Xenopus tropicalis: one gene and its partners. The protein of the gene in region 5 purifies or fractionates together with the protein of the main gene of each other region. This does not show direct contact. Links are inferred from orthologs where the notes say so. Each region holds a gene or a part of one and is shown on either strand. Other genes may lie near its edges.

What was found.
Region 1: the proteins of polr3h (region 5) and polr3k purify together in Homo sapiens (affinity purification with mass spectrometry; 3 studies listed by BioGRID and IntAct, with this or other methods). This does not show direct contact. The link is inferred for Xenopus tropicalis from reciprocal best matches to the Homo sapiens genes POLR3H and POLR3K.
Region 2: the proteins of polr3h (region 5) and polr3f purify together in Homo sapiens (affinity purification with mass spectrometry; 4 studies listed by BioGRID and IntAct, with this or other methods). This does not show direct contact. The link is inferred for Xenopus tropicalis from reciprocal best matches to the Homo sapiens genes POLR3H and POLR3F.
Region 3: the proteins of polr3h (region 5) and polr2f purify together in Homo sapiens (affinity purification with mass spectrometry; 4 studies listed by BioGRID and IntAct, with this or other methods). This does not show direct contact. The link is inferred for Xenopus tropicalis from reciprocal best matches to the Homo sapiens genes POLR3H and POLR2F.
Region 4: the proteins of polr3h (region 5) and crcp purify together in Homo sapiens (affinity purification with mass spectrometry; 4 studies listed by BioGRID and IntAct, with this or other methods). This does not show direct contact. The link is inferred for Xenopus tropicalis from reciprocal best matches to the Homo sapiens genes POLR3H and CRCP.
Region 6: the proteins of polr3h (region 5) and polr3g purify together in Homo sapiens (affinity purification with mass spectrometry; 5 studies listed by BioGRID and IntAct, with this or other methods). This does not show direct contact. The link is inferred for Xenopus tropicalis from reciprocal best matches to the Homo sapiens genes POLR3H and POLR3G.
Region 7: the proteins of polr3h (region 5) and uncharacterized protein LOC496835 purify together in Homo sapiens (affinity purification with mass spectrometry; 6 studies listed by BioGRID and IntAct, with this or other methods). This does not show direct contact. The link is inferred for Xenopus tropicalis from reciprocal best matches to the Homo sapiens genes POLR3H and POLR1D.

What each region holds. Positions count from the first base shown.
Region 1 is NC_030685.2:40,341,144-40,345,199, reverse strand, and holds the start of polr3k (DNA-directed RNA polymerase III subunit RPC10), read right to left. Parts: upstream 2,801-4,056; 5' UTR 2,767-2,800; coding exon 2,656-2,766; intron 1-2,655. Other genes in the region: snrnp25 (U11/U12 small nuclear ribonucleoprotein 25 kDa protein), read left to right, coding at 2,970-2,990. UniProt on the Homo sapiens protein: Core component of RNA polymerase III (Pol III) which synthesizes small non-coding RNAs using the four ribonucleoside triphosphates as substrates. Can mediate Pol I proofreading of the nascent RNA transcript.
Region 2 is NC_030681.2:38,387,732-38,391,816, reverse strand, and holds the start of polr3f (DNA-directed RNA polymerase III subunit RPC6), read right to left. Parts: upstream 2,801-4,085; 5' UTR 2,639-2,800; coding exon 2,583-2,638; intron 1,056-2,582; coding exon 938-1,055; intron 1-937. UniProt on the Homo sapiens protein: DNA-dependent RNA polymerase catalyzes the transcription of DNA into RNA using the four ribonucleoside triphosphates as substrates.
Region 3 is NC_030680.2:122,152,786-122,156,928, forward strand, and holds the start of polr2f (DNA-directed RNA polymerases I, II, and III subunit RPABC2), read left to right. Parts: upstream 1-1,343; 5' UTR 1,344-1,435; coding exon 1,436-1,455; intron 1,456-3,323; coding exon 3,324-3,393; intron 3,394-3,675; coding exon 3,676-3,806; intron 3,807-4,143. UniProt on the Homo sapiens protein: DNA-dependent RNA polymerase catalyzes the transcription of DNA into RNA using the four ribonucleoside triphosphates as substrates.
Region 4 is NC_030678.2:97,817,164-97,821,209, reverse strand, and holds the start of crcp (DNA-directed RNA polymerase III subunit RPC9), read left to right. Parts: upstream 1-1,246; 5' UTR 1,247-1,308; coding exon 1,309-1,316; intron 1,317-1,340; exon of another isoform or gene 1,341-1,538; intron 1,539-3,791; coding exon 3,792-3,828; intron 3,829-4,046. UniProt on the Homo sapiens protein: DNA-dependent RNA polymerase catalyzes the transcription of DNA into RNA using the four ribonucleoside triphosphates as substrates.
Region 5 is NC_030680.2:120,321,876-120,324,042, forward strand, and holds the end of polr3h (DNA-directed RNA polymerase III subunit RPC8), read left to right. Parts: intron 1-62; coding exon 63-126; intron 127-260; coding exon 261-471; intron 472-1,086; coding exon 1,087-1,140; 3' UTR 1,141-1,667; downstream 1,668-2,167.
Region 6 is NC_030677.2:178,954,538-178,958,510, reverse strand, and holds the start of polr3g (DNA-directed RNA polymerase III subunit RPC7), read left to right. Parts: upstream 1-1,173; 5' UTR 1,174-1,356; intron 1,357-3,973. UniProt on the Homo sapiens protein: DNA-dependent RNA polymerase catalyzes the transcription of DNA into RNA using the four ribonucleoside triphosphates as substrates.
Region 7 is NC_030678.2:155,277,705-155,281,971, reverse strand, and holds the start of uncharacterized protein LOC496835, read left to right. Parts: upstream 1-1,467; 5' UTR 1,468-1,473; coding exon 1,474-1,496; intron 1,497-2,848; coding exon 2,849-2,923; intron 2,924-4,267.

The DNA of each region.
Region 1 (4,056 bases), on a different chromosome or scaffold from region 5:
ATGTCGCAAGATCCAGGAGAGTTTGCGAGGGCCTGCATTGGACCTAATTAAGCTCCAACGAGAGGTGTGCCCACAAGATGGTCCTGAGAAGTTGATAGACGTACTGGAAGATACATATGGACCGGTGGAAGATGAAATTGAAATGTTGTACAAATTTCAGTCTTGCATGCAGAAAGAAAAAGAGAATCTGTCTGAGTACTTGAAGCGACTGCAGCAAATGCTAAAATTACTTGTTTGCCGAAGAATCATTGCTACAGATCGTGTTGATTCTATGAGGCTACAACAGTTATTCAGAGGGGCTTTATCTATGGACCCCACAGCTGTGATGTTGAGATCTTTCTACAGAGGAAAGAAAGAACCAACTTATCAGGAGCTGATCCGTGAGATCCGAAAGGAGGAAGTTAATGTTCTGCGACGAGAGAAGAAAAGACGTGGTTCTGAAAGGACATCCAGTGATTCGCAGAAAGCGGAAGAGATTGCCGAGTTAAAAAAACAGGTTGCTCAGCTCAAGGCTCGTGTGTCCGAAAAGGAAGAGGGGTCAACTATGTCTAGACCCTCTTCATTTCCTAAAGCAGGTGGTGCTCGCGGTGACCCACCAAAGTGCTTCCGTTGTGGCCGGTTGGGCCATATATCCCCACACTGTCCGACGCAACGTGAAAATGCTGCAGCTACAGAAGTTATTTCATATGGCTGTGCTGTGAGGAAGCCACCCCAAAAGAGGTATCGGAAGAGACGTAATCAGGTGAGGTGTTACACCTGTGGTTGGTACGGTCATACTTCCCACACCTGTGACTGGGGACGGAATGAAGACTTCACTGATGTATATGTGACATCTTTCCCATGTGAAGTGAATATTTGTGAAGAGAAATCCTGTGGCACGAGGATGGTCTCTGAGCACTCTGGCACCCCCAATAAAAGTAAGAGACTGGGCCTGGGAATGCGTAGACCTTCAGGCAGGGGAAGTGTCAGGGCAGTTAGTGAGGAAGCTTTCCCCTGTGTATCTCCCCCAAAGGTTAGGGAGAATAAGAATGGTGAGAAAGGGCAAGCGAGGACGTTGCCCATTCAAGCAGGGGGAGAATGTAGGGAGGTAGTGCTGGGTCCCTGCACTTACCCCCCTCCTGCTGCTGTTCCCTGTAGGGGAGCTGGCACTGAGACTTTGTGCTGTGAGCTGCTGCCTAGCAACAAGGTGAACAGCAAGCTCAGGGCTGCCGGAAGTTGCAAAGCAGCCTGGGAGAGGAAGTCAGTGGGAGGAGAGAAAAAGCCCCAGAACTCCAGAAGCTGCACGTGGGCTCAGAGAGAGGAGCAGCACAAGAAGAAGCTGGCCTTTGGAACAGGCTGGTACAGGGAAGGCAGACCCTGTACCTGGAGAGACAGAGATCCTGTGAGGAGTCCTGACTGGAGGAACAAACACCTGCAGGGGAATCCCATCTGAGTAGCTAAAGGGGCTAGTAGTCGCACTGCATGGCTGTGAGTGCTGGACTCGCCTGAAGATTCTGTGTGAATCACCCAAAGAGATTCCTGGAGTGAGTATCATTAAAGTGAAAGTAATAAAGGAGCGCTTGAAGATTTAAACTATATAAACTGTTTCTTTTGGGACTGAGCTAAAGGACTGTACATAGTTAGTGAGACAGCTTGCGCTGGCAAAGCTAGTTAGTAAGGCCCTTATTGCCACTTGGATAGGAGTGTTATCTGTATTAGTTTCCCCTTTATTTCAGATAAAAGTTATTTCGTTTATCAAGTACTGTGTGTGCATTATTATTGTTCCTAGTGGGGCCACCCGTAGGTGCACTCCAGGATCCCACTAGGTGGAGGCACTGCGCTAATAAGTACCAGGTACCCAGTCTCTCCCAATACCACTGCGGAGTGATTCAGGTTTGTCCCGTGCCATCAGGTAAGCGCCACTCGTGGAGTGTAACACTGTCAAAGGTGCCAGAAGTGGTGAAGATAGGGTTACAGTATTTCCCCTTAAAGTTTGTCAAATAAGTATCTAGCGGTCAGAACTCCCTATGTATTAATATATATTCAAATGTATTTATTTAGATATTATTTATGAAAGTGTTAGGACACATTTTATAATATATATTTATGATATTAGTGTGCTTTAGCAAGGTAATGCACTTCCACAGGGGAAGTGATTGTGCTGTGGTGTTCTGGGTATTGTGAATTTAGGGTTAAAAGTGTGCCCTTCTATGATGATTTGTTCCCAGAAGGGTAATAGCCAAAAAGGAAGAAAAGCAAGACCTTGGCCACAAACTAGCAAAAATCAGACAAAAAAAAAAATCACAGGTCATATGCGTATATTCAAATGTTCATTTTGGGGGGTGGGGGTAGCAGGTGTATCTATTTACTATGCATTTTATTTAGTATTTATCATAAAACATAAATGATAAGATCACCTTTTTAACTTTGTAAGTCTATTAAACTTACACAATTTAGAGCTAAAAGCCCCAGCCATTACCAGAATATGTTGTTAGCAATTTATACAGATTCATCCCGCACTTAAAAATCAGCGCATTGTACTGTTGCTAATGTAATGTTATCTGCCAATTAGCAATGCTTGGCATACACAAGGCATAAAAAGGCTTCGTAGCCACCAGGACTACACTTACGCCGCTTAAAACCATATTTCTATCACTTCAGAAGACCTCATTATACCTTGCGATTAACGTTGTGCACATAAGGGCAGGTATTACAGGCAAACCTGTAGCACTTCTGTCCCTCCTCCACGATCAGCACATTCCCACACGTCGGGCAAAATAGCAACATTGCTGCTAACAGATTAGCTCAAACTTCGCATCAACCACTTCATCCTCCAGACGCCAGTACCGCTGCCTAAGCAGAATGATCACCACGCGTTTGCCCTAGCCTCGCATTCACCTACATTACATCTTATTGCGCACGTTTCCGCCCGGTGATGACGTCTTTAATGGGCGCCCTAGAAATCTGCGACAGTTCCATTTGTAACTTGAATGAAACGGTGTGAACTAAAGGTGGGTAGTGGAAATTGCGTTGAAAAACTTAACTCGAAATTCTAAATTTCTACATTTAAGTCCAGCTCCCAAAAACTGATAACACGAGAAGAGCAATTTTTGCAAAGCAAAAGCAGAACTAGAAGTCTTGCAGCCATTTAAGTTGAAAAGGAGAAAAGGCACAGGTTTGGATATCATATAACATATATGCTCTGTAATAAAATGCAGTGGTGGTATATTCGTGTTAATCTGGTATCTGCTGTGTATCCTGTGCCTTTCTCCTTTTTTTATCTTGAAGTGCTTCCTCCATGGCTGCATAGAAGCTTGTTTATATAAACTATTTATATTCTTATTTATATACGGCTGATGCCGCATGGAAACCCGCATGCAGATAATCAGTCCCTCCGCTGACAGCCTCCTACCTTGCCTGCACCAGAAACTATTGGGCTGGCCTGGGTGCAGGCACACATGGCAGATATCAGCAAAGAAACTGTAAATTTAGCATTTTAGAGTGGATATTCATATTGTATGCTTGCACCTGGGCCAACGCAGTGGTTTGACCTGGAAAAGTAGGAGGCTGATGCCCAAGGAACTGATTCTTGGCCTGTGGTTTTTCATGTGCTGAGAATCAACCCCACATGGTATAAGCATTACAGTACTTATGTACGAAGCACTGTACAGCAGAGCATCTAATTGATAGAACCAGGGCCACCATCAGAAATCGCGTTCTTATAGTAAAACGGTGGTGTGTATTTCTTTTTCTCAGGCTTTGACCAGTCTCTCCTATATACAGTCCTCCTGTTCAGTATCTAGTGCACTGTATTAAGTACACCATATTGGAAGAAGAACAGTTGTACTGACCATGGATGTTGTATTCCTCTAATGTGTCTGAAATCTGAATTACAGATGTGTGGGCAGGTTTTGCATTGTTTTTTTGCCACAGGGATAAGTTCCTTTTTTGTTGGGTTGAATTAAGGCACTTCTTGTTATTAGTTGTTTTAGGTTTGGGGGCTGCCTGAATGCCAGAAGTGGTGGGTCTGGGAATATGTTTTGGAGCCTCTCATCCTTTTGAGGTGTACACTGTAGA
Region 2 (4,085 bases), on a different chromosome or scaffold from region 5:
GAGAATGCTGGGGGGAGCTAGAGAATGCTGGGGGGAGCTAGAGAATGCTGGGGGGAGCTAGAGAATGCTGGGGGGGAGCTGGAGCATGCTGGGGGGGAGCTGGAGCATGCTGGGGGGGAGCTGGAGGATGCTGGTGGGGGGAGCTGGAGGATGCTGGTGGGGGGAGCTGGAGGATGCTGGTGGGGGGAGCTGGAGGATGCTGGTGGGGGGAGCTGGAGGATGCTGGTGGGGGAGCTGGAGGATGCTGGTGGGGGGAGCTGGAGAATGCTGGTGGGGGGAGCTGGAGAATGCTGGTGGGGGGAGCTGGAGAATGCTGGGGGGGGAGCTGGAGAATGCTGGGGGGGGAGCTGGAGAATGCTGGGGTGGGCAGCTGCAGGATGCTGGGGAGTGTATGGGGATGCTGGGGAGTGTATTCCATACTTGATTATCAATAGGTATCAAAAGATATTTGTGCTGTTTCCATACAGGCAACGAGCAATCTTGTTGGTAAAAATTGTTGATAAAAAGAATATCCTAGAACTGCTCTCTGGTATTACATGTTCTGGCCTAAAGTCATTCTACTGAAATGGATTGTAAAAATGTTCAAACTTTTTAATGTTTAACCCTATATGGCATTTGTCACAGTAAAGAAGCCTTTGATTTATCTATTCTGCAGTGTATAACTATTGGGAACATACAGAGGGGCAACATCAAATATTTATGACATGCAAGGGGCTAAATTCAAAATGATAATGCAAGTAATATTAGGCAATAATAAAGTTAAAACGTTGTCACTACTGCCATTATTGTTTTTGTAGTTTTGGTGATTTACTTCTGTATTTCCTAGCTTGCAAAATGAACTGCCCCTCAGTATCTCAATCTAAACAAGGGGCCATATAGCCATAGTTTTAACATACATTATGTAAGACAAAAAGAAAACAAATATAAAAGAACTTACAGTTGCCAGCAGTCGGTTGATGCACATGGCCCTTTGTTTGGCTTCAATGTGAGGCATCTCATTTTGAATAACTTGGTCAGTGATACCATGAGGAAACTGCTGGCACAGCTCAATAACCCTAAATATATAGAAAAAAATACCATTAAAGAACTAGAAAAAGCTTAAGTGTAACTGTGTTAAGTGTTTATGAGACTGTTGACTTTCTCTAACATTTTATTTGTAATAATTTTGGCCCCTGATGTTAGTGGAAGGAATGCACAACACATGCAGAATATTTAGATCATGTCCAGTATGAAAGAACTGCTACCCCTTATGTGAGCCAACAACTGCAAGAAACAAACGGCTGGAACGGAGTATTATGTGACTAAAAATCACACTAACAACAAAGAGGATGTTTAAAGAACCGAAGCCATTGCTGCTTTTTTTTTTTTTGGACAGCTGTAATAACAGCCACCCTCCATTGGTAGACAGATGTTGGATGTTTTTTGGTACTACATGCTGTACTACATACACCAGAGGCAGTCTACAGGTCCGGACTAAGATTCAAAAGAGGAATTTCATGTACAAAGGCCCAAACAGCCCCCCACAGGTGCAATACATAGTGACGTTCTATGGCATCTTGCAGCAGCCACTCTGGCATTGGCCAGAATCCATAGACTGTCAGACCGGGCCTGGCATAAACACACTTGTTTTTTTTTTAATTCGGTGTAACTTTATCATAACCACATATTTTTATTGTCCCTTTTTACTATAAGACAGTCCTTAAAAGTTTCCTTTAAGGGGCAGTATATTTCTTTTTACCATGAGCTAAACAATAAATATAGTTTTTCCAAGTAATGTATGGCTTTTAGTTATTTCTTGCACTAAACAAAGACACTGACAGCTTAAATTTTCTAGTTTCCTGGTTCTGCCAAATCATCATTTGTGGTAAAACAAATCAACAGTATACAGATAAGCACTGGCTGCTCCTAATCACAAAGTCTAACAAAGGCTACATCTTAGGAGAGAGTGGATTTGCTTTATACACAGCTCATTATTCTCATTTAAACAATAGTGGGGAAAAACAAAACACTTTTATTTTAGTGCTTTATAACTACAAAACATTTGATAAATGTTAAAAATATGGATTTTTAAACTAAAATAAAAAAAGATTACATTCTCAACACAAGACTTATTTAGTATGCTGATGTTTAGCAAAAGTGTCTATAGGCATACACTGGCCTCTACAGTTTTAGGTTTCCTGCAGATAAAAACCCCACATCTTTTAGCAAATGTGTTCATGTCTCATCAGTCAGCCACAGTGTAGGTGTAGTCATGTCCTTTAGATAAGGTATAGCTGAGATTGCCATGAAGCTTTTCAAAATACTAGTAGGGTTCTAATGCCTGGTCTGGGACCACAGCTCTGAAGAAAGGCTGGATATAACCTGGGACAGACATTGAGCAAGTCAATGCGTGACAGCAAGTGACACAACTAATAAATAACTTTAGTTTTCTGCTATAACTGTAAGCATATGCTGCCAATATGATTATATTGATCAATGTGTCTTTCTAATGCAAGGGACTTTCATTTAAACCTTATGTAATTGAAAAAAGTAAACCAACATAGCCAAAACGCCAAAGACATACTCCGCTTTGCACCGCTTACCTGTTCTCTATCTCCGCTGCCTCCCCACCTTCTTGCTTCACCTTCGCTTCTGACATGTTTATTTGAGTCCCTATCCTTTGCCCACGTGTCCCCCTTAACGACTGTCGCCCCAACACCCCCAGTTCAGGTAGCACTAGCGCTGCAGCTCGATCAGCAGAAAGTATCGGCAGCCATTTTGCTTTCGGGCAAAAGGGAGCGTTTGGAACGGAACAACTTCCGAGCGGACAATATATTTTCAAATCAAAGGTACTACGTCTTTTAACTAAAGGACTTCGCGATTTACGTTGTCGCTAACCAAACATTTTCACGCTTTACAATTTCCAAATACAGCAAGTCGTCTGTGTAGCATTTGCTGCGGAAATACGTCATGCATAGGAGCATGCGCTTTGAGAGTGTGAAGAAATATGGGCGATGGTTTATTAGCGTCATCTTCGCATCTTTAGTTGCTAGGCAGCCAGACTTGACCAATGAAAAGGGCAGACACCGTCAGGAAGCAGGTTTTTACTACACCGCGTCTCTAGTAACGGGAGGTGGGACAAAGGCTGCGCCGGGGTCCACAGTGGGATATTTTATCAAGGTAAGTCAGGGTGCTATCAATTTAGACTAATGAAGAGTCTGTAGGTTACTGCTCGCCATAGATAGTGCTCTGCAGCTTGCGAACTTATGCTTTTCGAACTCAATGCTATGTGATTCGATGAAGCCCATTAACTTCTAGTTACATGTTTTTCAGTGGCTGAAATATTTTTATATTTTATACGTTTTTATAAAGCGGGACTGGTGTAGCATGTACAGTACATGTATGTAAGCTCATCTCATGCACCAGATTGTCTGGGAGAATTATAGCCTCAGAATCATTTTATGGCTGTTTGACTAATTAAAAGTTTTGCTAAGTACAAATGCTGACAGGACAAATACAATAAATCATTTAATCAATTTCTAATGTATTCATTTGAACTGCAGAAAGTTGGGTACAGTGGCCAACAAATGGTGACAATGTCCCTTAGTGCAATGTTTTTGGTCAAGAGACAGTAGCGTACCTTGAGTGGTCTGGCCCCACCCCCACAAAAAAAATATCTTCGGAGGGGCCCGGCATGCACGCTTAAGCTCAAATGAGAGCCAGCAAAGTGGACATTTAGAAGTGACTATGGATGGCAAACTACACACAGTGGACCTCATGGCCCAGCTTCCGCCCCCCATGGTCATGGGGTCTGCTGTATAGGTAGTTATGCCACTGTCAAGAGTATTTGGCCTTATTGAGTCAACTGCCCATGTACATGTAGGGACCCATAGGGTTAAATGGTCCCTATGGCTTTAAATCCCTACAGGTTCAGTTCCCTTAGTTGCTGGGCAGAAGGGAATGTATCTAAGTGAGTTCATTAACATGTGTGCTATTGGTCAGAAGGTATAGTGACCACATCCTGCCTGACTTTGGTATAGTGTTGGGAGAGGAGTGGCACCTTCCTGTTGTTTGCTTCCACCTTAGGGACAAAGTGGATGTGTGCT
Region 3 (4,143 bases), about 1.8 Mb from region 5:
CAGGAGTCCTGAGCCCCCGCTTACTATGGGGGTTAACAGGGATTTCTCCCTTAAATGGTGTGCCTCCACCCAGGGATGGTGTTGTGTAACTATAATCCACCCCCTGGGAACTTAATAGGTTGCTATGCCCCTCTTGGGACCCACGTACTCCTGGTGTAATACACTCCCTCTTGGAGTTATTCCTTACCAGCTTGGTAGTGGTCCTCTGGGCTTGGCAGATACTCACAGCAGACAACGGTGCAACGGTATATTAGGCAGATTCCTCTCCAGGAGTGGCACATATTATTGATACAGTGTGCAGGGCATATCCCCTTACTACTCATTGAGACTCTTTCTGTTGGACTACTCCACGGTACTCACGCCACGTGCTCCCCTCTAGGTGACCTTCCCGGTACTCGCGTCATGAGGCACCCCCTCCTGGAGCCCTCCCCGGTACTCACGCTAGAAGCCTCACCACAGGGACCCACACCGGTACTCACACTAAGCATCCTCAAATCCAAGCTCCTGGACTAGTGGTGACCTGGTGCACCTTCCCTAGCCACTTGTGGCCCTGCACTCCAGCAGATGTAACGCTGGGAGGTCTTAACCTCACTACCACTCCTGGAGGGGTCATGTCTGCCCATTTTAACCTATGGTGTCCTACATATCACTCCTGGAGTGATCTATTACCAAACTTCTATCTAAACTGTACCTGGGGTACTCCTGCCTGGAGCAGCCCCCAAAATGTCTGCCACTCAGCACATGGCTGCAACCCCTTATATGGGCCTATGCACCACCCTGTGGCCATAACCCTAACTACAGGTATACTCCCTGTTAACTATTTAGCACCCAGTCATCCCAATGTCCCTGATCACCACCCTGTGGCCTATCCTAGGGGTGTCTATCCTAAGGGCCCATTTTTGGTAAACCCCTACATGTATAACAGAAAAACTATGTTAGTGATTTCTCACCATTAACCATGGGAGTGCCAGGCATGAAAAGCTAAGCAGAAGCCCACGATTCTGCTTATAAAGTATATAGTCACATTAATGACCATTAGGTGGGGCTATTCCATACTAGTATAACTACACTATCCTGTCCCTCAGCTACATATATACCCATGCTACAGTCAACATACCCCAAATGCAAACAACATTAAATGTTTATTCTTGCACTAACCATAGTATTCATTATTGCCTATGTGTATATCTATACAAACCATCTCTAACCTTAATAAGCTGTCAGCACGCCAGCCAGCACCGGTCAGTCTGTATAACGAACACGAAACGCTCTCGCAAGTCGCGTCCTGTCTCCATGGGAACCGTACAAGGAAGGAAGTTGAGGGTTTAACGTTTCCGCTTCCTGTCTGTGGCCGTTCGTGACGCCGCAACGAACTTATCCCAGTGTGTGTGTGGGAAAAGCGAGTAGGTTCTGCTCGGTACCTAGAGCCGCTGCCATGTCGGACAACGAGGACAAGTGAGTCGCTTTGTATTGTTACTATAATAAAGGGTGGGGCGGTGATATTCACTGGGCAGGCCGACGGTACGGGCTGGGGGCTTCCTAGCTGCTAGTGCCATGTGGGAATGGCTCATACAGTGTCCCTTCATCTCCTTCCGCCCGGTACTAACACTGTAAGGGAACACTGGCCCCCGATTACAAGAGGGCGGTGTAATTGTTTATAATATATAATATACTGCCGAGTTTAGTCATGAAATCTCATTGTTTATGGACAAATTTTCCAGGTCATGAACCCACAAAGCTGCATAACGGTGTTATTCCCTGTACTGAATTATAAGCACACTCATTTACTAACGGGGGGCAAGTTGGTACCTAGGCGCTAATCCAGCAGGTCAGTGATTATGTTCTGCCATCAGCAGTTACAATAATGACAGCAAATGGTCGCCATGGGTTACTTACCAGCTGCTAATTTGCCCACTATTAGTAAATGAACCCCAAGGATGTTTATGCCAGAATCAAGAATATCTATTTCCAGACTATAATAGTAAATTCGCTTTCATACAGGTGGGGAGACGCTGCAGGGCAGATATGTAGCAGCCATTGCACCAGAATGATTCACTAAAATGCTGATCTTTCTGTGAGGAGTTACAGCTGAGTATTTCTGCCCCTTGGCACCATGTATATGTCTCAGTTCTATGGCCCAGCCACTCTCTGCGTTGCTTCTCATACATCAAATACTGTTTTATTTAAATGTACTCCTAATTATCACACTGCTTTTGGAGCCATGAGGCAGAATGGCAATCAGGTGTGTAGGAACAGGAGCAGGTTCCAATCTCATGGTGCCATATTGATAATAACTTCATCTGACATCCCAGTAATATAAAAAAAAAAAAAAAATTTTTATATATATATATATATATATATATATATATATATATATATATATATATATATATATATATATATATATAGGGAATGAGCAAAGAGCAACCTGTTTGTATGTGCCCATATGTGTGTCAAATACATATATCCCTGCAAACTGGTATCACCTCTGTCCCGGCATTTTTTCTTGATGGCACCATAGGTAATATAACAAATAAATATTTTTGATCTGTTAAATAGCAGCAGCACTTTTATGTACATTGAAATATAAGAGGGCAACATTTAACAGACCTTTTATTCAGATAAAGCTCTACGAAACTGTACCCAGGCCAGTACTCCCTACTTACAAGGGCTGATGCTCACATATCATAGTCATGGCTGTTGCTTGTAATTTGACCAGAAGAAAAAAAGCACAAGGGGTCGCTGTTAGAACTCTGTGCCCAGATTTCTTTCTAACAGAGTGGTCATTGTATAATGGAGGGGGCTCTATTTTCTGTTTTGGATGCTACTGTGACAGTGACTAAATTTGATTAAAACAATTGACTTTGGTGATATATTTAAGATAATTTATAGCAGTGTTGCATATCACTCTTTTATTTTTAATAATCTATAAGGTATTTGTCCATTCCTCTCCCTCCCCCCTGTTTTTTGGTGAATTTAAGTCCAAATGACCAGAGTTTATGGTGTATTTCCCCAGCAGAGGCCTTTTCCATAGTTACAGTAGGACACAACCTGTACAAGGCCTTATTTCCTAACAGCAGTCACATTGAAAAGTTCTACTTTGCATTTTATTACATTGATTATTTATCAACATTCTAGAAAAATATACAGTCCCATGTATTTTATTGCAAGTTACAGGACTGGCTACCATGGATGATACAGTAAGTATCAGTTATCATTATCAACTCAAAGTCTATTTTAAGCACCAAACCCTGACAATGTAGTACAGAAGGGAGGAAATTATGCCAAGAGTTGTTCACTTATGTATTTGTTTTGGTGTGCAGCTTTGATGGAGATGATTTTGATGATGTCGAAGAGGATGAGGGACTTGATGATTTGGACAATGCAGAAGAGGTAGGTGGTGTTCTTTTGTTCCACAACAGCCTGGTTTTTCTTTACTGAAATTGCAATAGTCCAAATAATTATTTATACTAAAAAGCTCAGCGCAAAATGGAAACTTCTAGGTGTTTCATATATATATATATGTATATGTTTTGTTAATACAAAATTTGTGTTCTAATATCTTACTGTTAATGTGGGTAAAGTAGAACTAGAAGACACAGACATTCAATGGACTACAACCAGAAGTTTTCCTTTGTGGTCTCTATGTAACAATTGGTGGGTTTTGTATTGCAGGAAGACCAGGAGAATGTGGCAATTCTTCCAGCTGGGGAAGGCCAGCAGGCCAACCAGAAACGCATCACCACCAATTACATGACAAAATATGAGCGGGCCCGTGTGCTGGGAACTCGTGCCCTGCAAATAGCGTAAGTAAAAGATTATATGTGATGGAAAGAGCACATTTCACCCAGCACTTTCCATGTGGACTAATGTGAACACACCTTCATTGTTACAATAAGAGCCTGTTCCTAAATATCACTTTAAATGAGAAGGAACAGCTAAATCACTAGGGGGTGCCACATGTTAGGCAGCCCCCAGTAATTGTAATTGCTTACCTGATACCCCCAACCGGTACTCCTGCACTGACTCGGGTAAATGCAGGCGAGCAATTATCTTCCTTCCTTCTCCTTTTGCAGTAATCCTGGGGCCCATGCATGCGTTAAAGTTTGGCTTTTCACTCTACTACGCATGCAAGAAGGATGA
Region 4 (4,046 bases), on a different chromosome or scaffold from region 5:
TCAATTAGCAATAATCACGCCTCAGTTTGACCTCATTGGCTATGATACTGCCACTGCGCAAAGCTGATTGGGCCCCTGCCTAAGTTAAGGGGCCCCTTGTGGGACGGGCTTCTTTCAAGTGTGGCTACGGCTGCCCAGCCGATGCAATGGATTGTGGGAATCCATATGCTAACAAAGCCCTTTCCAAGGGCCGCCTTCCCGTCGCGCCGTAACCAAAGCACCCTTCTCCAGCGCAACACCAGGCAAGCGAGCCAACATCTGCCTTTTAACCAAGCACATCAGTCTCCTGAGAGACTGTCAAAAATTGCCAGTGCTGACTATATTTCAAGTCATCACGGCGGGGTATTGGGAAAAGTTTTCAATTAGCAATAATCACGCCTCGGTTTGACCTCATTGGCTATAATACTGCCACTGCGCAAAGCTGATTGGGCCCCTGCCTAAGTTAAGGGGCCCCTTGTGGGACGGGCTTCTTTCAAGTGTGGCTACGGCTGCCCAGCCGATGCAATGGATTGTGGGAATCCATATGCTAACGAAGCCCTTTCAAAGGGCCGCCTTCCCGTCGCGCCGTAACCAAAGCACCCTTCTCCAGCGCAACACCAGGCAAGCGAGCCAACATCTGCCTTTTAACCAAGCACATCAGTCTCCTGAGAGACTGTCAGAAATTGCCAGTGCTGACTATATTTCAAGTCATCACGGCGGGGTATTGGGAAAAGTTTTCAATTAGCAATAATGTGAGGTGCGGCTGAGGGGGTTGAAATCACCAAAGCTTGTAGCTTAGCAGTAAAATGTGGATGAAGTTTACCAGAGTGCACGTTACATGGCTGTGGCACCCTGGGAAATTAAGAATATTCCTAGCCCTGTATGAAATTAAAAAAATAAATGTGTTTTTGAAAAATGGATTTTAATGCAGGATTCTGTTAGAGAAACTATTGTTATTATTAATTGGTTTGGAAAAAAAATGTTATTGTTCTTTCAGAAATCACACTGGGTACAAAAAGAAGTAGGAAAAGTGGTTGAAGAACTACACCATTACTATCTATATTCAGCCTGGTGAGGTTTCATTCTACTGGGAGACTGCCTTAGTTTGGGACGTTCAAAGCACTCAGGGACGCATCATACACTTGAATACAAATAACGCTTGCAAAAACGAAGTTGAATCCTACACGTGTTTCAGGAGGGTGAACTCTTCCACTTCCTGTTTCAGCGGTTCCGCAGCCTCCGTTTGGTTCCTGAAAGGGTCACGTGGCGTGACATCATCAGCTGCTCGACTTTTCGCTCGGCTTTTAATTGACCAACGTGAAAAACAGCATGGAAGTGTAAGAAATGTTATTTATAAATGTGTCTGTTTTAAAACGCTTCGAAATATTTAAGAGTTTTCTGCCATTTGCTTTCGAGCTGCTAATGAACGTGTGCGAGTGAAAGCTGGGTAGGCAGCAGCATGGTGTTACCTGAGAAATCATTCCAAAACTTCCGGATTGTATACGTGCTTAGCTGTATGTGGTTTCGATGTGTGTTTTTATGTGTTTTGCTGATTGACAGTAAGTACTTTACAATTACATATATAGTGGAACAGAGTAAAGGTTTATATCAGGTGATATTTACAGGGGGCTTATAAGCATTTTCTTTTAAAGAAACGCTTACCTTTGCACAAACTACCGTCTATGTAAAGATTGCACATTTCTAAACATATCTCTAACATAACCTCCAATATTAACAAAAATGCAAGCTAACCCCTGCATGCAGAGAGGGTTGCCGACCCCTGCATGCTTCTGGCTGATGCCGCCTACATAATCTTATGGGGGCAGTGCCAGGTTTGTGCAATGTCAGATTATTGTTGTTTTCATGGAAGTGTGCAGTCATGTGATTCTTTTTCTCTGGGGAATTGAAGCCCTACCTCTCCCTTTGCTTTCTGAGCACCCAAACTGAGAGAAGAGAACACAATAAGAAAAGTACTAATTAATAACATGCAGTATGTTGTTGAAGGCAAGATAGTAGACAAAGCTGACCTTATACTTTATTCAATTGGGTTTTTGTGTATTGGGTGAACCTTCCCTTTATTCATGCTTTTGATGTGCGTATGAGACACAGCTTAGAGCAGGGGTCCCCCACCTTTCTTACTTGTGAGCCACAGTCAAATGTAAAAAGACTTGGAGAGCAACACAAGCACCATAAAAGTTCATGGAGGTGCCAAATAAGGGTGAAGATTGGCTATTTGGCAGCCTCTATGCGCCCTATCAGCTTACAGGGGGCTTTATTTGGTAGGAAATCTTGTTTTTATTGAATCAAAACTTGCCCCCAAGTCAGGAATTCAAAAATAACTACCTGGTTTGGGGGCACTGAGAGCAACATCCAAGGGGTTGGTGAGCAACATGTTGCCCCCGAGCCACTGTTTGGGGATCACTGGCTTAGAGAGTGTACCTAGGTTGTGACTTAATTGGTTCCACATTATTCTGTCTGGTTGTAACAACAAGCCTTCATATCTGCGTTTAAGTAGTGCCACATTTGACTGCATTTTTCCAGACAGCATTCAGCATTTTTATGCACTTACATGCATAACATATGTGTTCTGATGTATTCAGCAAGCATTTAAAGGAGAAGGATAGTTATTTTGGCATTTTACTGCCAATATATTTGTCACATTAGGGCCACCTAGAACACTATATTTATTCTGCAGAAAGATTTACTTGAGTAAAGAGCCCTAAAATCTCCATGCGATTGTTTAAGATTGCAGCTACCATTTTAGCTTGGTCTTCCTAGTTTCCTGCTGCAGTTCTAGAGGCTGGTAGCTTAATCTAGGAAGACCAAGATAAAATGGTAGCTGCAATCTTAAACAATCGCAGGGAGATTCTAGGGCTCTTTACTCAAGTATAGTAAAGCTTTCTGCAGAATAAATATAGTGTTCTAGGACTAGGAGAGTTAGTCAGATACCCAAGAACATGTTTACAAAAACGGTGACAAGAAATCATGTGTTTTTTTGATAGAGGACTCGGTGCAGCTTTTCTGTAAGTGCTTATGGCCGTATTTACATACTTTTCTGATAAAGCTTACTTAGTTTTTACCTTTTCTTCTCCTTTAAATAGATGCACTTTCAGACACCTGATTTTGAGAGACCTTCAGAGTAGATCAAATAAGCAGAAGCTGACAAAGTGTCTTTTGTGGGCATTTTATTAAGCATTCAACTTGACTTCGAGTGTGATGTAGTTAGCAGTATTCTAAGACAGTTTGCATTTTGTCTTTTTATGTTTTTTTATTATTTTACTTTTTTATTCTGCAGGTCTCAGATTTGGAATTTTAACTACTATTTTGTTGCTATAATTCAATAACCCTACCAGCCAAGCAGCAGTTAGGAAGTCAGACTGGCATGTAAATAGAAGAGGGCCTTATTAGAAAATTAAGGACAAATGATGTGCCAAAAAAATCTTACCTATGGTAACTATGTAATAGCGTTAACTTTGGGTCTAGTAACTCACAGCAACCAACCTAAGGAAACTGTATCCCAAAGGTCTTTCTGTGGCTAGTGCTATCGTCTGGTTAAACTCTGATCTCAGCAATTATTTGCTTGAGGTCCATTTATTGGTTAGTTAAATTCAGTGCTCACAGAGTTGAATGAAAATGGACCTATGAATCACAAACAAGCTCAATACCTTTCTGTTGCTAAATAAGAGTTTTATAGGCATTTGTTGGCCTTGTACAAATGATCCAGCCATAATGATTGATTAAACAAATGACATATAGAATTGTTTATTTGTTTTGCCTTATGGTGAATTACTTTTCCTTCCCTTTTTTTTTAGAAAAGATGCAAATGCAGCGCTCCTGAGCAATTATGAGGTTGGTAAAACGGAATATTTAAACATGTTTGTGGTAGATTATGTGTATTCATTATTATCACATTGTAATTGCAGTGCTTGTGGGGAAATGTAATAAAAGCTATAAATGGCTTAAAATGCACAATTAAGAACAAACATTTGCATGTGCTATGTAAAATTATTCAGTAGACAGTTATATAGTGATCTATTGTGTACTGTTATACTGTTATATGTGTAATA
Region 5 (2,167 bases):
GACATGTCTTGTTCAGCTCCTTAATCTTGCAGATAATACATGATTCTTAATTCCTCCCACAGTTTCCCTAGGCTTCTTTGATGATATTGTTATACCTCCGGAGTCCTTGCAGCAACCAGCAAAATTGTATCTTTTGTGGTAACAGGGACAACTGTTATGGCCCCTCATGTAGCAGAAGTAGTAGCTGTGAGATTCCTTTAGTCTGTTTAGTAAGTGTGTATATTTCCTATCAACATTTCCTTGACAATTTTTGCTCTCAGTGATGAGGCCGAACAGGTATGGGTATGGGAATATGAGACAGAGGAGGGTGCTCATGACCTGTACATGGATGTGGGTGAGGATATCAGATTCCGAATGGTGGATGAGACCTTTATAGACACATCTCCAACCGGACCCAGCTCAGCAGAAGCCTCCTCGTCAACGGCGGTTGCAGAGGAGACTCCTCGCAAAGAGGCACCCTACACATTGGTGGTAAGAAATTCAGTTGGTTCCTATCTGTTTTAGTTGGGATTTCTATTAATTTTGTCCTGCATCGCTACTGAGAGGACATTCTCCTTTTGCACTGGTGGTGCTTCAGCAGCTGGCTACCATAAAGTTGTTCCCTAGTTAGCTAGGAAAGGGTACATGACAACTTTATATAATCTACATAAGGCATGTCCAAACTTGTACTGATAAAAATGATAGATTAAGGGTTGACACACAACTTGAATGTAGTCCCTGTGGTAGCACTCAGGACTGTGACGCCTAAGTAAGGAGAATGGCTCCAACCGATCCCAGAAACAATATCAGAGAATTCTGTCCGGAAGAGTGCAGTGCTTAAAACTGCGCAGAACCCAAAACTTCCAGAACTCTGGTAAAGGACCCAAGACAAAATGCCATCCAGTTAGCCACACTAGGGTGATTGCCTCTGCAGTATGTGGTTATTGCTACACTCAGCCAGTAGAATCATTTAACATTACAAAAAGCTTGGCATAGAGAGGCAGCTGTGAAGCATCAGCTAATGAGATTATGACTGGGGGCCTTTAGGAATGAAGGGGTACAAAAATTTATTATAACCCTTAGAATGATTGTTTTATTTTCCTGTAGGGGTCTATAAGTGAGCCAGGGTTGGGCCTGCTTTCCTGGTGGACCAACAACTGATTGAAAGGAGCTGCCTTGCTTTTCCTGTCCCACATCATTGCTGTACAGAAAGCCATGCCAGTCAGGAATACACAGAGCATCTGACAATGAAAACAGGAGTATTACAGAGTTATGTCCTGTTTAATGAGGAGAAATATTTACTATCTTCCATGAGAATGCACTAGATTTAAGATAACGTTGACTATTGGTTCCCTTTTGTTTGCCGTATAAATTATACTTTCATATAGAGAGTTGAATTAAATGTTATTTAGACACTAGGGGTGGTTAGAGTGCTTAGGTTTTTTAGCGCTAAAACTCGCAAAATTCAAATTATGGTTAAGTGCAAAAAAAAACTCAAATGTAAAACTTCGGCATCTAAAAGCTTGCGAGTTTATGTAGAAGCCAATGAGAGTTGTCCTAGGCAAAGTCAAGACATATTTTCGATTTGAGTTTAAGCTTTTTCTCTGAGTTTGTAAACCTACAAATTCCTACCTACTGCCTTGATAGTAGTAGAGTTTTTCATGTTAATAAATAAGCAAACACTTGAATTTACGAGTTTATTCGAATTAGAAAAAAAAACTCCAATTCACAAACTCAGAAATTGATAAATAAACCCATAAAAGTGGGAACCCAACAGTGCATACATCCCACCTCCGACCTTTAGGTTTTGGTGAACTACAACTCTGTTGTCAGGTTAGCTTTATTAATGGTACTCAAATTTTTTTTTCCAGCATGCAGTTCTACACAATTGTGATTTAATCTGTGTTTCAGGGAGGTGTAGAAATTTAGACAGCAAGCAAACAGCAACCATGACATGAATGGCAGTGTGCTAAGAAGCAGATAAACATAAGCACTTATCACAGCAATCTAATAACAGAGGGTGGGTAAGGTGATTCACTGGATGGATGTAAAAGAAAATTAAAAACACTGTTATGCCTCAGAGTTTGCCTCAACAAAATGGATGTCAAATATCAAGGCCCATTATTTAAACATCTGTTGGTTTGAGAAGAATGGAAACAGGAGCAACAGAACAGGTGAAAATCGAAGA
Region 6 (3,973 bases), on a different chromosome or scaffold from region 5:
GCTATCCTACAGGCACAGTCCCTTCCCAGAGGCTATTATCCCCCCACTGCTACTATAGGCACCATCTCTCCCTACTATACCTGCTATCCCACAGCCACAGTCCCTTCCCAGAGGCTATTATCCCCCTGCTACTATAGGCACCATCTCTCCCTACTATACCTGCTATCCCACAGCCACAGTCCCTTCCCAGAGGCTATTATCCCCCCACTGCTACTATAGGCACCATCTCTCCCTACTATACCTGCTATCCCACAGCCACAGTCCCTTCCCAAAGGGTATTATCCCCCACTGCTACTATAGGCACCATCTCTCCCTACTATACCTGCTATCCCACAGCCACAGTCCCTTCCCAGAGGCTATTATCCCCCCACTGCTACTATAGGCACCATCTCTCCCTACTATACCTGCTATCCCACAGCCACAGTCCCTTCCCAGAGGCTATTATCCCCCACTGCTACTATAGGCACCATCTCTCCCTACTATACCTGCTATCCCACCGCCACAATCCCTTCCCAGAGGCTATTATCCCCCCACTGCTACTATAGGTACCATCTCCCCCTACTATACCTGCTATCCCACAGCCACAGTCCCTTCCCAGAGGCTATTATCCCCCCACTGCTACTATAGGTACCATCTCCCCCTACTATACCTGCTATCCCACAGCCACAGTCCCTTCCCTACCTACTATATTCAATATATCACAGACTCTTCCCAGAGGCTACTATTTACACTACTTTGCAAAAGCTGAACATGCCCTTTGACAGCATTTTGACGAAGACAACTATGTCAAATTTAGAAAGATTAGTAGTTAAACTGGCAAAAAGTAATTTACTCCAACTTTTTAAAAGAAAATAAAAACAGTGTGGCATAAAAAGAAAAACATTTGATATTTAGACAAATGCCAAATTTATCTTCTCTGAACAGACATATTGTATAATATTTATTTTCTGGGCTCCAGCAGTTGCACCTCACTGATGGTGGCTGTGTAATGCATGATTAGAGCTAACTGCTGATAGTTGCCAGTACATTAGTTTTGTGTTCCCCTTTAAGAACACATAATGATCAATGTACAGCGCCTTTCCACTGAAAGGGCTGTGCTTCATGTTGTGTTTAGTAAGCCTGAACACTAACAAAGGGAAGCTCTACCCTATATAGTTTTACTGCTGAGCAGAACCTAATTAGTTTAGAATCAGTTACACTGCCTGATGCTCGTTAGGACTTGCTGACAAGCACTGCCCCCACTGGCTTATCCCTACTGCACCAGGATTTACTTGTGAATGTCATTGTAACGCAGATTTGGTGAATCAGCCGAGTTCTATGTTTGATTCATCAGCGAGAAATTATATCAGACTGAAGGTAAAATGATTCGCTTAAGTATATGAATTTAATATCATGTCTATAATTCTATTAATCTATGAAAACACCCAAATGTAAGATGTGTTAAAGCACAGATATAAGCACATTTTAGGCCATTATAAAATCAGTTACAGTTGGATCAATGATATTTAGCAGCATTGGCACAGATTGGCATATTGGGGCTTGCATTTATTGACTTCTACTGAAGCTGAATGTTGAAATGTTTTTGAATGTATTATTTAATAATGAGTTAAGCTTGTTTGCCTAAAGTGGGCCTATGAAAATAAATGCCTTTTAATATTTTATTGTTCAACTTGGGGTCCTTCAGCTGCTGGAAGCTGCAACTCTTAGTGCTCTTAGCTGGGTGTGGTTGGGGCATGACAGGGAATGCTTTAGGGCAGGACATAGAGAGCTTCTAGTCCTCATCATGTCCTTTGTAGAAGTACAAATAACAATCATTAAAAATGTATATTCTTATATACATTCTTAGTTTTTACATTTACAGTGTTGCCTGTGGCCCTTCTAGTTTTGTTCAACTAGAACATTCAATGTCAGCTGATGACTTTCAGGTGATTATAGCAGCTGTACCTGGGGGCCTATTTAGTGTGCTGAGTAAAATGGCAAATGTCACCATCTGAAAGCCAGACTTTATGCCATTATTCTATGCAAGCTACGTAATTACATTGTTTTTTACACAGCGAAGCCTCGCAATGAATGACGAATTTTGCTGCCATTTTTGCACAGCATAATAAGTAGGCATCTTAGTGTGCTGTAATTGGTGCAAACCCCAGCAGGTGTAATTCATTGCTATCAATTATTTTAATGAGAATGTTGTAAGAATACACCTGAGCTTCACTAAAAAAAGTATATAATTTTAAAGGGAAAGCTATGTTGATGAACAAAAGCTGGAGGGCTGCAATTTGGGCATACCTAATTTTTATAGGGTCATAGCGCCTTAACACAGTGAGGTGAAACATCTCAAAAAAAATGGTACGGCCGACCCATCAAATCAAATGGTACGGTCTGACCCCCCCTCAAATCAAATGGTACGGTCCGCCCCCTCCAAAAAATGGTACGGTCCAACCCCCCCCTCGAAACAAATGGTACGGTCCAACCCCCCTCCAAAAAATGGTACGGTCTGATCCCCCCTTCAAAAAAATAGCATGGTACGGCCTGATCCCCCGTCGGAAAAAAGTGGTACGGTCCGACACCCTCTCCAAAAAAATGGTACGGTCCGATCTCCCCCCCAAAAAAATGGTACGGTCCGACCCCCCCCTTCAAATAAAATGGTGCGGGCTGACCCCCCTCCAAAAAAATGGTACGGTCCAACCAAAATTTTTTGGAATGGGGGTCGGACTGTACCATTTTTTGGAGGGGGGCGGGGTTGGACGTACCATTTTTTTGAGAGGGAGGGATGGACCGTGACATTTTTGGAGGGGGGGTCGGACCATACCAATTTTAAGAGCGGGGGAGGTCGGACCGTACCATTTTATTTTGGAGGGGTAGGACCGTACCATTTTTTAGAGGGGATGGGGACGGACCGTACCATTTTCAAGAGCGGGGGGGTCGGACCGTACCATTTTTTAGAGCGGGGAGTCGGGCCATACCATTTTTAGAGGGGGAGGGGACCGTACCAATTTTTTTCGAGTGGGGGGGGATGGACGTACCAGTCGGACCGTACCATTTTTAAGAGCGGGGGTCGGACCGCACCAATTTTTATGGGGGGATAGGACCGTACCATTTTATTTTGGGTGGGGGGGGGAGTCGGACCGTACCATTTTTTGAGTGGGGGGGATGGACCGTACCATTTTTAAGAGCGGGGGGGGTTTCGGTCCGTACCATTTTTTTCGAGTGGGGGGATGAACGTACCATTTTTAAGAGTGGGGGGTCGGACCGTACCATTTTTAAGAGTGGGGGGGGGGGTTCGGACTGTACCATTTTTTGAGTGGGAGGGGGGTCGGACCGTACCATTTTTAAGAGCGGGGGGGTGATGGACCGTACCATTTTTAAGAGCGGGGGGGGTCGGACCGTACCATGTTTAAGAGCGGGGGGGTTCGGACTGTACCATTTTTTGAGTGGGGGGGGGGATGGACCGTACCATTTTTAAGAGCGGGGGGGTCGGACCGTACCATTTTTAAGAGCGGGGGGGGGGGTTCGGACTGTACCATTTTTAAGAGCGGGGGGGTCGGACCGTACCATTTTTTGAGGGGGGGGGTGGACCGTACCATTTTTAAAAGCGGGGGGGGGGGGGTCGGACCGTACCATTTTTTGAGTGGGGGGGGGGATGGACCGTACCATTTTTGAGTGGGGGGGGGATGGACCGTACCATTTTTAAGAGCGGGGGGGGGTTCGGACCGTACCATTTTTTGAGTGGGGGGGGATGACCGTACCATTTTTAAGAGCGGGGGGGGGTTCGGACCGTACCATTTTTTGAGTGAGGGGGATGGACCGTACCATTTTTAAGAGCGGGGGTGGTTCGGACTGTACCATTTTTGAGTGGGGGGGGGTGGACCGTACCATTTTTAAGAGCGGGGGGGTCGGACCGTACCATTTTTAAGAGCGGGGGGGTTCGGACTGTACCATTTTTAAGAGCGGGGGGGGTCGGACCGTACCATTT
Region 7 (4,267 bases), on a different chromosome or scaffold from region 5:
GGGACCCCAGGGGCCCACCGGAAAACCTTAGACCAGTGATCCCCAACCAGTGGCTCGTGAGCAACATGTTGCTCCCAACCATCTCTGATGTTGCTCCCAGTGGCCTCAAAGTAGGTGCCTGTTATTACATTTGTAGCATAGAGACTAGTTTTGAAAATACAGAGGCATCATTTTAATCCACTTCATCGGAGTGTGGCTCACAAGTAAAAAAGGTTGGGGATCCCTGCCTTAGACTATAGGCCCACTCTCCGAACTATTTTTTCTCACCCACCCTCTTTATTCTCCTAGTCTTTTTTATTTACACTATTTCTCCTCTCTGTTCCCATTCAGAAATAGGGAATGGCCATGAAGCAGGCCAAATGGTCAGGAGCAGGAGGGCCCACCGACACCTGGGCCCACCGGGAGTTTTCCTGGTATCCTGGGGGGCCAGTCCGACTGCCTGGGCTGCTGCACTTTTTGAAAAAGAGAAACACCATTCCTGTGTAGCAAGTAAGGGACTAGCACAGTGATCCCATTTAATGTTACTCCCTGAGGCCTTAATGCAGGCACTTATTTTTGAATTCCTGGCTTGGAGGCAAAAAATGAAAGTGTATAAAAATAATTACAATATAATGAACTGTTGCCCTGCACTGGTACAGCTGGTGTGTTTGCCTCAGAAAGTCTATAGTTTATATAAACAAAGGTGCTGTGTAGCCATGGGGGCAGCCATTCAAAGGAGAAAAGGCACAGGCACATAGCAGATAACAGATAAAACCCCATTATATTCTACAGAGCTTATCTGTTATCTGCTATGTAACCTGTGCCTTTTCTCCTTTTTCAAGGTTGAATGGCTGCCCCCATGGCTACACAGCAGCTTATTATATATAAATTATAGTAGAGTTACTGTAGCAAACACACAACTTTACCTGTGCAGGGCAACAGTACATTATATTTTAAATACTTTAATACACTTTCATTTTTGGCGTTACTGTTCCTTTAACCGCGCTGCCAACCTACAGGCATTAGTGACAGGGAGGAATGCAGAGTGGAAATTGTTTTCTCAATACGCCAGTATTTGGCACAATCTCTGAGGTTTTTCAAGTTTGTTTTGTTCCCCAACTCATTTTAAAGTTACTAACAGGTAAAAAAGTTAGGGTATCCCTACACTAGAACCACTTTGCTGTGTTCTCCAACTTGCCCCCCCCAAAACCCCCTATGGTTTTGCGCCAGAGTTTGGGTAAACTTAGCACAATCATTCCACAACTTTTTTTAACCATTGATGACAGTCGTCGTAGTGTTAATCAATATTTTACTATCCATGTGATCTCACAGCGCTGCCCAAAACTATATATATATATATTCCCTTCAGCACTAGGGAGGCACTCCGCAGCTCAGTGACGCCTCTGGCCCCGCCCATTCCGGAAGTCGCTGCGCTGCTTGGCGTTGTTGCCATCTCGCCAGTGTATTTCCGGGTTCCTTTGCTGCAGAGCAGAAATGCAGGAAGACGAATTGGAACGGTACGAAGTATATGCGAAATAGAAATAAAATTGCATGCTGCTGCTTGTGAGCTGTCTATGTTTTACCCCAGTGAACGCTTTATAGTGCAGAGACTGCTTGGGTAGTGGGTGAAGGATAAATAATAATATATACATGAATTGTTATGGGACAGCTGTTGCTGGGGAAGTGGGGACTGATTGGGTGCAGTTACTTTTGGGTCCTTGTTAGGAATACATAGGGGGAGATTTACTAATCCACGAATCCGAAACCGGAATGGCAAAAATTCAGATTGGAAAGAAAATTTTGCCGTCTTTTCGTCGCCGCCGCAACTTTTTCGTATTTGTCGCGACTTTTTCGTCGCCGACACGACATTATCGTATTTTGCGCAACTATTTCGTCGCCGTTGCAATTTTTTCGTATTGAGCGATTGTAAACGGCGGAAAAACCAATCCGATTTTTTCGCGACGGCGACGAAAAAGTTGCAGAAAATATACGAAAAAGTCGCAAAAATACCGATCATTGCGAAAAAAACGCATGCGGATGCCTTCGGACCGTTCGTGGATTAGTAAATCTGCCCCATAGTGTTGATCCGTAGGCTATAGAGAGCTCTTACTGGTACTGAAAGCCAGCTGGCCAGACTGTGGTTCATGTATATCACTGAAAGGCAACCAATAGCCCTTTTTGTATTGTGGAATTACAGCTTCCAGGGTTGGTTGTTGCAGTGGGAGTTAAAGTTAAACTACATCAATAAAGCAGCAATTAGAGATGTGATTTTGGTTTTCACTTTTTTGTAAAAAAAAAAAAAAATACTGGCCTTTCTATGTAATTATCTTTCTTCCCTATTAATAACATTGACATCAAGCATTATTTTGACCGGCTGGGTTGGTATAATACCAAGCAGCCATAGATGGAATTAGGATTGTGCACATTTACATGTCTCTGGGAAGCACTGTGCATGGTTCAGGATTTGTAGGTCCCATAGATTTTGCTTAGAACACTCTCAGCCCACTTATAATAAAATAGTAAACCAATAAAAGCAGTTTGGTCATGCAGTTTTTGGTGCCGTTGCCATATTAATACATATTCAGTGTACTTGCCTGGAGACCAAAAGAAGAGACTGCTAGTTGGAGGCAGATTTGTTGAAATAATGGAATTTTTAAAAAAAAAACGTAAAGTATACTAATGTTTAATAATGTTAATAGGCCTTATTTCATGCGTTTGATACATTTTTTGTCCTCTTTAAATTGGTGTAAAAGAACTTTCCCCCCAAAACATGTGTGTAGATTTTTATTTATGTAGCAATACTTATATATGTTGGGCTGTACAGCCGATATTGTTAATGCTAATTTCTTGCTCTTTTATGCCGATGCAGGAAAGCTGTAGAAGAGCTTCTCAAAGAAGCAAAACGTGGCAAGATCCGAGCTGAAACTATGGGACCAATGGGCTGGTAAGTGGTTTCTTTATACAATTTTTAATGATATATGTGCGTGTAACACTATTGTATGGTTAGTAACTGTGTTCATATTAAAAATACTGGTGTGTTTATAAAACTTGAAAAAACTGTTCTCTTCCTTTAAAAAAGGAAATGGGTAGTCAATGGAGGGAGGTGCAAACCCCTCATACAGTTATTATAATCATCATTATTATTTTCACTTAAAATACACTGGCCCTGTGTACTATTCTTGTGAGGCCTGTCCTGTGCCTATGTGCAGCATAGTAAAATGTGTAATTCAATGTGAAATGACAGGTAGGCTTCTCTTGCACTTAAACACAGAGTAGGGCCACTGCAAAGATTCAGAGAACAGCAATAAGATGACTGCATGGCGCTAATAAGGATAATACCCCAAGCCAGTCATAGGTAAGTGATTATAATCTAGGAATCCCAAACCCGAAATATGCTAATTAGGAAGAGAAAGGGGGAAAAATTGCAGCGTGCGCAGCAAAAAATTTTTCCCCCTACCATATAATCCTTACAAACATGGGCGTCCGCAGAAAATTTTCCAAGGGGGGGCAAGTAAGCTAGCATCATCCTGCAACAGACAAATATATATATATATATATATTTAAAAATATATATTTTTTTTTTGCAGGATGATACTAGGGGAGGCTAAAGATGGCCCATACACAGTCCGACCTACAGCTAATGTGACACTTAGTGGATTCGCTGCTGGCGTAAAAAGTTAACCTCCCAACTACCTCTTGCCGTTCCCACTGACTACCAGGGATACTGTACAAAAGTGCGGGTGGGGGTGCTTTTTTTTTTTTACCCTAAAATGTTTAGGATGTAAAAGTATTCATACGCGCACGCGGGATCTGCAAACATTTGTGTTTGTGATCAGTTAGCTTAAAGGGGTAGTTCGCATTCAATTCACTTTTATTTTTAATGGTTTTTCAGTTATTTAGCTTTTTGTTCAGCAGCTCTCCATTTGGTATTTCAGCAGCTATCTGGTTGCTAGGGTCTTATTTACCCTAGCAACCAGGTAGTGGTTTAAACAAGAGATGGGAATATGAATAGTTAAGGGGCCTACTTAGAAAAATAAGTAATACAAAATTATAATAATAATAAAATTGTAGCCTCACAGAGCAATATTTTTTGGCCCCCATTTGAAATCTGTATAGAGGCAGAAGAGAAAGGCAAATTATTCAAAAAAATTAATTAGAAAGACCAATTGCAAAGTTGCTAGGAATAGGCCATTTTATAACATACTAAAGGTTAACTTAAAAGTGAACCACCCCTTTAGATGTGTTTATGTTAGTTTTATAGCAAGAAAGGCAGTGGGTACTGACTCCC